3 linked regions of the Danio rerio genome follow. The main gene of each other region encodes a partner of the protein of the gene in region 3 in a complex. Links are inferred from orthologs where the notes say so. Each region holds a gene or a part of one and is shown on either strand. Other genes may lie near its edges.

Region 1 (4,393 bases), on a different chromosome or scaffold from region 3:
CGCCCGTCTACAGCAGTGATGGCGATGGAGGAATCACAGGAGGTTAAGGGAATGGAGTGAGTGGTGGCAAACGTGTAATCAATAAAGTTGCCAGCGGCTCCTGAATCGATCATGGCCATAGTCTCAATTTCATCTCCATTGTTTCTCAGAATGACAGGCAAATTCATAACATTATTAGTGGTAGTGAACATAGTGGTTGCACTCACCGAGACGGTTTTAGGGAGAGGCTTGTGGGGACATAAAACCTTCGTATGACCTGGAAGTCCGCAATAAATGCACAGGTGATTTCTTCTCCGTCGTTCTCGCTCCTCTGGGTTCAGGCGGGTTCTACCCAATTGCATGGGTTCAGCGGAGGTCTCAGGGGATACAGGACTGGAAGCAATTGAGCACAGTGGATTGCGAGTGCGGAGGAGAGTGTCTAACCTTATAGAAAGTTTGATTAGTTGATCCAGTGTTTTTCCCTCGTCACGACATGCCATCTCTTTCTGCAATTCTGGTTTTAAAGCCGTTCTGTAGAGCGTGGTAAGCGGATCATCAGCCCAGCCAGTTTGCGCTGCCAAGGTGCGGAACTGCAGTGCGAACTCAGCTGCGGAGCGATCTCCCTGTTGGATGCACAGTAGCTCCTCGCCAGCGTTGCGACCACCCTCCGGATGATCAAACACAGTGCAGAAACGTTTGAGAAAGTCATTAAACGAGGGAAATATCGGGGTACTGTCTGGCCAAACTGCAGTAGCCCAGTCTAGCGCTTTTACAGTGAGCAGTGAGCACACAAAAGCAATTTTCCCATTCTCGTCCTTAAACAGATGGGGCTGTTGGGCGATAAACAGTTTACATTGCAGTAGGAAGCCTTTACATTTTGCTGGGTTACCTGAGAACTTGTCAGGGAATGCCAATCGAACTCCGGAAGTCATCGGGGGTTGTGCAACAACAAGTGGACTTGGAGAGTAGTTGGCGGTGGGTTGCGCAGTGGCAGCAGCTTGCAGGTTTTGTAGGGATTTCACCAGTTCGTCTGTTAACTGAGTTAGATGTGTTAGTTGTTGTTGGTAAGTAGACAATACCTGAGCTTGTGCTGTGACTTCGTGAGACAAAACCTGGATGGCTGCGGGATCCGTGTTGGGCGAAGTCTTCTGTAACGGGGAGACTGACATGGAGGGATCCATTTTGCAGTATTTATTAAGTCACACTTAAACATCAACAACTCGCACGGCTGTGCGGACATACAACATACACATCAAAGGAGGTTTAGCAGATAACAGACGCAGAGTGATTACCAGGCTTGGGTCAGAGGCAGGCAGCGTGATTCAGAGTCCATGTAACAGGCTTTGGTCGAGGGCAGGCAGCGAGAATCAGAGTCCGAGGAAACAGGCTTTGGTCGAGGGCAGGCAGAAGACAGAGCAGAGTCGTGAAACGGGCTGAAGTGGTAAACGGGAGATCAGGCAGGATAGAACGCTCAGAAATGCTGGCCGGGGCTAAACAAGACTTCGCACTGAAGTGTGTGTGTGAGCTGCTTATATGTGGTACGTGGGTCATTAGTGGAATGGAGAACAGGTGTGCTGGGATCAGGGTGAATGGATGACGTAATGGTTAGAAGTCCGGAGATGGTGACCTCTGCTGGTCAGCGAGGGGAATGACTGGGACCGAGTCGGTGACACAGACGTTGGATTTTGGTTGCCATACCTGATGAATAAATGTCAGTATTTGACGTTAATATGACTTTGGTTTAAGATGTTGGCTCAGCTGTGGATTTTGGTCTCTTTCTAACAAGCTACAATCGATAAAATATCAACGTCATTTGACGTCATTATTGGATATCAAAATAACGTCCTTAGACACTGGCAAGACATAGAATTTTGGTCACCTGACATCACAACCTAAATCAAACATAATATAATTTTTTTATGACGTTGTGGGCATACTGGACAATAACTATGCACTACAGAATGTCACATTTAAACACATGCACAAATTACATGTACACGCATTAGCTTTTTACAGCACTATATATATATACATATAATTTTTTTGATTTTTTTTTAACACACACGCCTCACCTAGAAATGAGCACTGGTTAAATGATCACCAGTGCTACCTCCTCATAATGTGCTATATATATATATATATATATATATATATATATATATATATATATATATATATATATATGAGAGTTTAGTATGTTTGGGAGTTTAGTCTTCATAAGACTTTGTAGAAATTCTGTTAATTAAACTGCACAACCCAAAAGAAACAATGATAATCAAACGGATATGAGTCGGCTAACTATTGAATTGATTTTATTTTATTTGACATTTTTGCATTATGAGAAAAAAGTGTCGTTATGGATGTGACAGCTGTGAATTTGACCAATTATTTGACCAAAACCAAAAAGTGTTACTTTGTGCCCCGCTCTACCCTACTAAAAATAATTTCATGACTTGAAACTGTTTAAAATAATGTTTAACGCAACAACATCATATAATAGCCTATCAACCAACAAATCCTAACTTTGTTTAATTCACCAATAATTATTGGCCATGACACTAAATATAAAACATAATTTAACAAGCATATCGGGCATAACCGAGCAAATGTAGCAGGAAGCAGATTACTAAATGTCCTAAATTTGATGTTGTTACTCACAGTCTCCGCTCCGGGGCGTATAATATTTCCTAACACTGACAGCTGATCAGCGCAATCCTGCAGCAAAGCACACGCTCTGAGCTCCTCCACGGACGTCATACTGCTGATTTGGGCTATATAGAAATTTAGATAAATATATAAATAAAATTAAAAGGTTTCTTTCTTTTAATCCTTCTAAACAAAGAGGCAAATCAGCCGTGAAGAAGACGCTACACGTGCAGCTGTAGCAACAGCGTCCGTCGTCATGACAGCACGTCTTGTACACACAGATCCGCTCCGTTTGCTGGCTGTTCTTACAACAGACTGAATTAATTTACGTTCATGAACATCATGTTTTGACCAGTTTTCCATGCATTTTTTGTCTGCTAGAAGGTGGTTTATTGACAAAACTGACTTATTTTGACATTTTGACTTATTTTGTTTTTCTTTATCTTAAACATGCTGTTCATTGGTAATGTTCAGGACTTCTAGGTATTTTTATAGGTAACCCTTTTAAGATTTATAATCAGTAGATTTGTCTACAATACTCAGTTTTGGGCTGCACGGTGGCACAGTGGGTAGTTCGCCTCACAGCGAGAAGTTTGTTTGTTCGAGCTTCGGCTGGGTCAGTTGGCGTTTCTATGTGGAGTTTGCATGTTCTCCCTGTGTTTTCGTAAGTGTGTTTTTTGGGTGCTCCGGGTTCCCCCATAAGTCCAAAAACATGTGGTATGGGGAGAGCGGGGGACGTGTAACACTTTTTGGTTTTGGCCAAATATAAAATATATGGTTAGACAAACCATATTTTTAACCAACAACACACAAGCCTCTCCTACAAATGAGCACTGGTTGTATGATCGCCGGACGTATGTGCATTGCCAAAAGTGCCAGGAGTAAAAAATACTATTTACCCCACCTGTGGGGCAAGTTGTGACAGACAGAGTTTTAGTTGTAACATATGCTTATAAAGACATATTTAGTATTGCAGGTTTCAATGCTGGTTTTGCTGGTATGGATGCTTGTTTTGCTGATCTCGATGCTGGTCTTGCTGAAACCAACATTGAGACCAGCAAAATCAGTATTGAAACCAGCAAAACCAGCATCGAGACCAGCATTAAAACCAGCAAGACCAGCATGAAAACCAGCGAGACCAGCAAAACCAGCATTGAAACCAGCAAGACCAGCATCGAGACCAGCAAAACCAGCATCGAGACTGGCAAGACCAGCATCGAGACCAGCAAAACTAGCATTGAAACAAGCAATACCAGCATTAAACCCAGCAAGACCAGGATCGAGACCAGCAAAAACCAGCATTAAAAACACCAAGAGCAGCATCGAGACCAGCAAAACCAGCATTAAAACCAGCAATACCAGCATCGAGACCAGTAAAAACCAGCATTGAAACCAGCAAGACCAGCATTAAAATCAGCAAGACCTGCATACCAGCAACAATACATACCTTACCAGTATGCTAGGTTTTTTTTTGTTTTTTTTTTTATAGCAGGGATAGTGTAAGGCTGCGTTTTAGCTGGATTAGCTTGTCGGCTGGTCATTATAACTACAATTTTTAAAGTAGGCTACCAAAATATTTGCTAAAGATTTAGAATAAAGAAATATGAATAAATATTTATTTTTAATATTCAAATTTATTACATCATATTTCATTATAATTTTTTAAAAATCTGTTAAAGTTTTAAACAAAAACTGTTGTCTATTGTCACTTATGTAACAAATTGGCCAGCACATTCAACTTTCCTCAGTCAGAATTTGGCTGTTTGAA
Region 2 (4,269 bases), on a different chromosome or scaffold from region 3:
ATTTAACTTTATGCAAAGAGCTTACAATGACCAAGAGCAACAGACCCGGATTCCGCCATTTTGAAGTGATAGCGATCGCTCGTCATTGCTGTCGCGATGGAAAGCAGCTGCTTTGTTTTTATTTAATTTATTCAAAAAGCGCGTTATTGTTTCCCAAATTGTAGATTGTCGCCTCATGGTAATTCTATGCTCTTCTGTGTCTGACTGTTGTGATGTTTTGCTTTGTTTTTCAGCTGAGATTTTGAGCAAAGAAGGACTATTGAAGACAACAGTTGAAGACAACCGCGGGTTATAATCACGAGCGCGCGCATTATAATGTTTTCGGGCTGTTTTCTGAAAGTGTGTCTTTGTTTAGATAAGTTTGCATGTCAAACTAAATAAACTATACTCTTTCTAAACACCTGTCTCGTTTTATTTGTCCTCTACAGCAATGCACTGTCATATAGGTCTGTTGAATGCATTTGTATGCAACATGGTTTGACAATACAGTAGTCTAACAAATAAATAGTTGTTATAAATGTACCTTCATTAGTCAACATTTGATGTTATGTTATGATTGTTATACTATATTTATTATTATTAATATGCTGTATGTTTAAAACCAGCAAATTATACTATATATTTAACATGTCATAAACTTACTGTTATTTTAACATTTGCCAAATAAAATGTCCTAAGACAAGAATGGGTGTTGTTTTGGTTTTGTGTCAACCTACTGTAGGTTTTAGGTTGACTACAGCAAGGCTACATACATCATAGGGAGTTTTTTTATAACGGAATAAATATTTCACGGAGATGATTTTACTGCGTGAGAAAACTGATGTGTGGCGTGAGAGCGTGAGAATACGGTCAATTGCGTGACTTTCACGCATTTTGGCAACTCTGAAATATTAGTGTTTGGACTATGTGATTATTTATTACTATAGCAGGTACTATTTAGCCTATATATTCTCCTGGATTGTATAAGTGCTTCTGATTTTTATTTAACACTGACATATTTATACACATAGGTAATTTAGACATGTACTCTTTATTGGTGCTTTCAAACGAATAATCGCGTTCATGCTTGTACAAAGGATGTATAAAAATGTTCCTTACATTCTTCCTTTTCTTCTGTTTTTTTAGTCAGTACTGAACTTTCCCCTTTTGTGAGCAAAAACTTTTGCTAGTCTATAAAAGATGTTCGGCATTTCTTATTTTGGTCGATTTAAACAATCATAAACAGCATAAACAGAAACATTTTTTTAAACTTCTGAAAGCGGTTCCTACGTAGAAGAACCACTTCCTGCCCTCCGTCTGAATGGCGAGTGTGTTCAGGTTACCTAGCAACCAGGGTTTTAGACATGGCGGACAAGTATAATGCAGGTAAAGATGCTACACGTAAAATGCTACGCTTTTTTTACGTTTGTGGGCTTACTGTATGCTTATTAATGGTGTTTGTATTCTCAGCATGACGTGTTTTTAAATACAGTTGCCATTACTACGACTGTTACCAGATCAATGATGTTTGAAAAGTTTTCAGTAACGTTGTTTGTTAACGTCGAGTAGTTAAAGTAACAGTAAAAGACCACACAGACAGCGAACATCTACAGCTGAATTGCTTTGTAAACACACACACACAAAATAAAATAAAAATGCGGAAAAACACAACGTTAATTAATGTATTTTTTATCAGAAAATATTATAATAGAAACTCAAAAGAGGATTGGGAATGCCTTTGATGTATTTGACCATGAATCCAACAAGACTGTTGATGTCAGGTAACGTTTCACTACGCTGTTTTTCAAAATATATTAGACCATTTGTTGATGTCTGTTAGCTTTGTTCTGCACATGTTCTACAAACAAGGAAGACTTCTTTAATGTTATCTGTCATTTTTCACCGTAAAAGGGAAATAGGCACCATCATTCGTTCACTTGGCTGTTTTCCTTCAGAAGCTGAATTGCATGATATCATCTCTGAGGTCAGTGGTTTTGTTTTGCCGGGTCATAAAATGCATCGCTCTTGTAAGTTGAGTAGATCAATAGTTATGAAGTGTCATTTCATTCACAGCTAGAAGAAGAAGAACCCACTGGATTTGTGCGCTATGAGAAGTTTCTTCCAACTATGACTAAGATCCTGCTGGAGCGCAAGTAAGACTGTAATGAAATAAAACAGTATGAAACCCAGATTATTCTTAATGTTTTTAAAAGGTCACAGACTGATAAATCACACAAATGCATCTATATATTTATATACAGTCTAACTCAAAATTATTAGCTGTCCTGTAAATAATTTTTTCTTACTCAGTTATTTTTAAATTGATATTCAACAGAGCAAGGATTTTTTTTTTCTTCTAGCAAAAGTCTTATTTGTTTTATTTTGGCTAAAATAATGGTCTTTAATAAAAAAAAAACATTTTAAGGTCAATATTATTAGCCCCCTTTAGCAATATTTATTTTCGATTATCTAGAAAACAAACCATTATTATACAATGACTTGCCTAAATACCCTAACCTGCCTAATTACCTTAATTAATGTAGTTAAGCCTTTAAATGTCACGTTAAGTTGAATACTAGTATGTTGAAAATCATCATCATGGCAAAGATAAAATAAATCAGTTTGATGTGTCAAATGAGTTATTATAACTATTATGTTTAGAAATGTGTTGAAAAAATTCTTTTCGTTACAGAAATTGGGGAAAACATTTACAACGGGGCTAATAGTTCAGGAGGGCTAATTATTCTGATTTCAACTGTACATGGATATATAGTGCTAGAAGATGAAGCCAAAATGTCCAAGGTATCAACTTGCACGGATCGTATAATTCCCACAGTTCCTACACACCCAATTGCAAGCACATAATGGCATGCATCCAAATAAAAGCAAACTTATTAAAAAATGTTCCGTATATACATCAACAATTGATGTAACGAGAAAACAAGGCGACACAGTGGCGCAGTGGGTAGCACTGTCAGCAAGAAGGTCATTGTTTAAAGCTCTGGCTGGGTCAGTTGGCATTTTTGTGTGGAGTTTGCATGTTTTCCCTGTATTGGCGTGGGTTTCCTCCTAGTGCTCCGGTTTCCCGCACAGTCCGAAGACATGTGGTATAGGTGAATTGAATGAACTAAATTGGCCGTAGTGTATGTGTGTGAATGAGTGTGTGTGGATGTTTCTCAGCACTGGGTTGCAGCTGGAAGGGCATCCGCTGCATTAAACACATCCTGGATAAGTTGGCGGTTCATTCTGCTGTGGCGATAAAAAATAAAGGGACTTAGCCGAAAAGAATGAATAAATAAGAAAACATTAATTAAACGCTTACCTTCTCTTCGATAACATTGAGGGAGCAGGGCTTTTTAAAATGTTCTGCAATCAATGACCAGAGAGCAATGGAAATATTTGGATTTCCCTTTTTCTATATTTGGCCTGTGTGAGCCAAAATCTCACTAATAAAATGTGTTGTCGTGTCTAAAGCAGACAAATGTTTTGCCTCTACATGTAGATGTGCTGGGGGTGGATTTAAACAATATGCAAGTTAATCGGCCGCTCAGGGCCCCAGTTAATCTGAGGGCTCCCAAATAAATACCTAGAATTATAAATTATACATATAAATATTATATATAACATTGCTTTCTATCATATTTTCCCCTACCTTCAATCATGGACCAGTTCAGCTGTCAAATCAGTAAAGATTTAGTTTTAAAAAACGAAATTGTTTATTTATAGTGAATTTATCTTAAGAAAACAAATGATTTAAAAAGTTTTATAAGGTGCTTTACATGTTATTATTATTTTGCATTAAGATAAAATGTAGAAAAGGAGATTGATTGATATAAGAAATAACAGCAAAATAATAATAAAAAAATTAAAGTACAAAAGGTGCCTTTTAGAACTTTTGGGTCTAATGGCTGGAACAGCTTAGGGCCCCAAAATCACTAAATCCATCCCTGAGACGTACAGTATATGACTATAAGTGTTTTAACATAATTTGCAGTACCTGTAAAAACTTAAAACTAAAATAAAATAAACATTTGATTAAATAAATATTTACTTTGCTAAAGTTTTTCCCACAATAAAATTTAATACAAAGCCTAGTATTAGTGATAATTGTAGCTCTGCTTCTTTCTTTTTTCTTGCAGGTTTCGTCCTATTACAGAAGACCTGCTCATACAGGCTTTTGAGGTGAGGCTGTTTTGTTTTTTAATTTTTAATGTGTGAATTTACCTTGTTAACATGTGAAACTTTTAGCAGTGTCAAAGACACTATGCAAGACACCTAAGACCAGTGCAT
Region 3 (3,653 bases):
AAAGAACTGAAAACCAACACATCAAATAATATGGTTGTGTTACAAGAACTCCATATACATATACATTACATACACATATAAAATAGTGTTACTTTAGGTATTTTAAAGTGAAATTAATAGTACCGCTAGAATATTTGTGGCAAAAGCTTATTTAAGATCACTGAGTTGAATATTTTTATATAATTTTGTCTGACACTACAAAACAAATATCTGTTATTTATCTGGTGTCCGAATTTTGTAATTCACAGGTGTTTTACAAATGTTGTAATGTTTATGAATTTTATTATGGACCTTGATCTTTGTTCTGTCAATTTACAGCGTGTTTATCTATTTGTGTTTGCATTGTGAGGATTTGCAGTACAATATTAATTTATGTTTCTGTAGTGAGGCTTTGCAATGTGTGTCAAACCGACTAAGATGTTTTCCTAATTTGCCGGTATTTATTTATTTATTTTTTTCTATTCGCATGTGTCTTCTTAGGTTGCAGCACGTTAAGCTCTCTCGGGCCACAATAAATAACACTTACCTGCACACAGATGTCAGTTAAGGTGGGAAGATCATTCAACACAATCTGTTGAAGTGAATTGCAAGTCTCTGCAACACATGTAAATCCATCCACAGTTATCTAAAAGTACAAAATGAAAACTGTATTTGATCACTCTGGGATAAAGTCAAGAGTAGTTAAATGTGTAATAAAAATAGGATTGACTAACTAAGTATTTCTTAGAGGACATGACATAACTTTGAAAAACTAACTTTTGGGTACCTTTATTTATAATCATGTAGTAGTAAATTAAATATATTGTATATTTGCATCATATAACCAATAACACCAACTAATAGAAAGCCTAAGATACTTTTTTTAAATGATACAGTAGAATAGTTTGCAAGTCAAAACTAACCTGGGAGCAACCGGAGAGGTTAAGATGGCGGAGTCTGCGACAACCCGTCCCTGTGGTCAGATACTGCAGGTCTTTATCAGAGAAATGAATGCAATATGCCAGATTCAGAGACCGCAGCATCACACAGCATCTACTAAAAACATTCAGTACAGAAAAAAACTTCAGTCATTGTTGAGTACAGTCTGAAGATCTGAGAAACATAAGACTTTTGTACCTTGCCAGGACTTTTATTGTGGCGTTGGCAATGTGAGTGCAGGCCAGATTAAGACTGAGGAGAGACTGACATCCCTCTAAAATCATCTTCATATTTTCATCCTGTCAGTGTGTTTTCAAACAAAACACACGCCAGTTTTGAAGAGCCGAAAATTAAATAAGCAGAAAACTCCTAAGACTATGAACTGTATACTTGCATTAACAGTTGGACATTCACTGAGATCCAGTTCTTGAAGATTCCTGCATTGACCTTTAAAAACAAAAGTATTCTGTATCTTTATGAGGTTAACAAAGCAGAAAATAAATGCAGTTGTTTGGTAAATGAAGGTAAATGTACTGATGCGTCTGAAACTTAGTCTTTGCACCATGTTGCAACCACACAGGTTTACAGAGATCACATAAACACGGTGAAGCCGCAGGATTCTCTCCACCATCTGATCTGTGATCCAGCTGCTCTCTGGAGAGAAATCAATCTGTGGAAATACATCTCACAGGTTACACTGTATATGAAGCCTTTAGCACACTTAGCAAACGACACTATGTCAAAACGACATAAACAACATTTTAAAAAACTCAGCAACAATGCTAATGCGTCCATTTGACATCTACACACTGATGATTACACTGGATTATATTGTAGATTGTAGATTGTATCCTTACAATGCATGTACAGTAAAGTACCTTATTGTCAAAACAACATCAAATTGACATCTTACATTTGCATAAAAACACGTCAAAAAATCGATTACAGGATAGTTTTTGATTCGTCTTCTTCTGAGTTAACATTTATAAAAGTCTGGTCTTAAAGTATTCCTAAAACTTGAAGCTTAAACTACCAAACTCACATTAGACAGTCATTCTGATCAACATGTTTATGCAATATAACTTCTAAATGATCCTCAAAATAAAGAAATCCCAAAGACTTTCATTGCCAGGCTTTAACTTTCAGATCTTAAGCTACTTGCAAACTAGAAAAGCCTATCAACTAGCATACAACGTGCTAACCATGCAAGAAACATGCTTGCTGGATAACACTGTAATTTATGCTGGAGACATGTTATTTGCTATCAACTTTATGCTTGAAATTAATTTGTGCTAACAGTATAGTGGAATTTACATTAGCAGCTAGCTTATTGTTAGAAGCATAAATGCAAATTCACTAATAAAGCATAGTTAACATACTAATACTTTTTATTCATATTAGAAAGATGGTATTTTAAATTATAAACATGGTAACAGCATGCTAATTGCTAACAACAAGATATGCCAGTTCATGTTAGATACATATATTTAAGTTTGAAACATGTAGATTGTTGTTTGAAATATGCGAGCAACATGCTAATTCATGTGAGAGGCACACAAACAAAAGTCTAGCTAGCAACATACAGTAATAGTGCTTGTTATAAAATAAACAACATGCTAAATCATGTTACAAACATACTAATTCATGTTAATAATTTCTCTAACATCTAACAACATAAAAATTTAGAAATCTTTGTCAAGACAACATTAAGTTTTACCATAAAAATTTCCTCATTTTGATTTCCAATTGATATAATATTTTTTGTCTGTGAGTTCAATGGGAAATAAATCTTGTTAGCTTTTACCTTAATTCCACATAAGAAGGTAATTTAAATTTGGAACATGAGGGTTCAATGAGGGTGATGTTAAAGCATTACTAACTGACATTTCATTGAATCTGCCTTGTATTTAATGAGCATCTTATATTTTCATGCATTGTCACAAATGAAACAACACTTTCAAGTGCAAGTACACAATATGCTTTAATATAATTATTAATATAACATCATTGTGTTTAAAAAAGGGCAAATCTGTTGATTTTCTTATATACTTTTACTATATTCTTAAAGATTTTATGTATACAAATATTAAACATGCACTTCTAAATTCTAAAGGGAAAATTTGACAGTTTTTAGGTCAGCTGCACTAACCTCAGTCCACAGTGAGCTGATTTGAGTGATTGCTTTCCATGATTGACAAACCTGAGCACATTTCAGCAGGTCTCGCACACCTAGACTTTGGAAGATCTGCACCAAACGGTTCATTTCAATCACAGCTGATTGTACGTTTTTGCCAGTTATTTAACAGTTAGTGGTAGTCAAATGATACCTTGAGAAACAGCCTGTTGGGCAGCAGTGACAGATTGTCCTGTCCATCACCCTGTGGTATGCCTGAGTTCTGGCTTTCCTTCATATCTCTTTCTAGTTTCTGAACAGACATGTATAATAGCTGAATATCTCATGAATTCAATGCATTTGGGTTTAGCTGATTGTTTTAATAATTATACCTTAAAGTATTCCTTTGTTCTTTTAGCGTCCTGCACAACATGACGCCAAGCCGTGATGATTTTTCTGCAGTGTACAGACTCTTGAACCTTCTGTAGTTTCCTCTCTGCATCTAGATAAATTAAAGAATGCCTTGTTTCATGATATATAGAGAGAACAGAAATAATAACACACTAAATTTATATGGTAACATGCAAACTAGTAAAAAAAAAGCATATGGGCAGAATTTAAA

What was found.
Region 1: fbxl13 (region 3) and drc9 share a complex: the UniProt entries of both Homo sapiens proteins name them as parts of the nexin-dynein regulatory complex. The link is inferred for Danio rerio from reciprocal best matches to the Homo sapiens genes FBXL13 and DRC9.
Region 2: fbxl13 (region 3) and drc8 share a complex: the UniProt entries of both Homo sapiens proteins name them as parts of the nexin-dynein regulatory complex. The link is inferred for Danio rerio from reciprocal best matches to the Homo sapiens genes FBXL13 and DRC8.

What each region holds. Positions count from the first base shown.
Region 1 is NC_133193.1:29,337,713-29,342,105, forward strand, and holds the start of drc9 (dynein regulatory complex protein 9), read right to left. Parts: upstream 2,877-4,393; 5' UTR 2,737-2,876; coding exon 2,638-2,736; intron 1-2,637. UniProt on the Homo sapiens protein: Component of the nexin-dynein regulatory complex (N-DRC), a key regulator of ciliary/flagellar motility which maintains the alignment and integrity of the distal axoneme and regulates microtubule sliding in motile axonemes.
Region 2 is NC_133192.1:12,696,816-12,701,084, forward strand, and holds the start of drc8 (dynein regulatory complex protein 8), read left to right. Parts: upstream 1-1,327; 5' UTR 1,328-1,343; coding exon 1,344-1,365; intron 1,366-1,675; coding exon 1,676-1,760; intron 1,761-1,890; coding exon 1,891-1,963; intron 1,964-2,052; coding exon 2,053-2,132; intron 2,133-4,118; coding exon 4,119-4,161; intron 4,162-4,269. UniProt on the Homo sapiens protein: Component of the nexin-dynein regulatory complex (N-DRC), a key regulator of ciliary/flagellar motility which maintains the alignment and integrity of the distal axoneme and regulates microtubule sliding in motile axonemes.
Region 3 is NC_133200.1:19,757,460-19,761,112, forward strand, and holds part of fbxl13 (F-box and leucine-rich repeat protein 13), read right to left. Parts: intron 3,534-3,653; coding exon 3,424-3,533; intron 3,345-3,423; coding exon 3,246-3,344; intron 3,164-3,245; coding exon 3,068-3,163; intron 1,589-3,067; coding exon 1,313-1,588; intron 1,218-1,312; coding exon 1,117-1,217; intron 1,036-1,116; coding exon of another isoform or gene 1,033-1,035; coding exon 903-1,032; intron 626-902; coding exon 527-625; intron 1-526. UniProt on the Homo sapiens protein: Substrate-recognition component of the SCF (SKP1-CUL1-F-box protein)-type E3 ubiquitin ligase complex.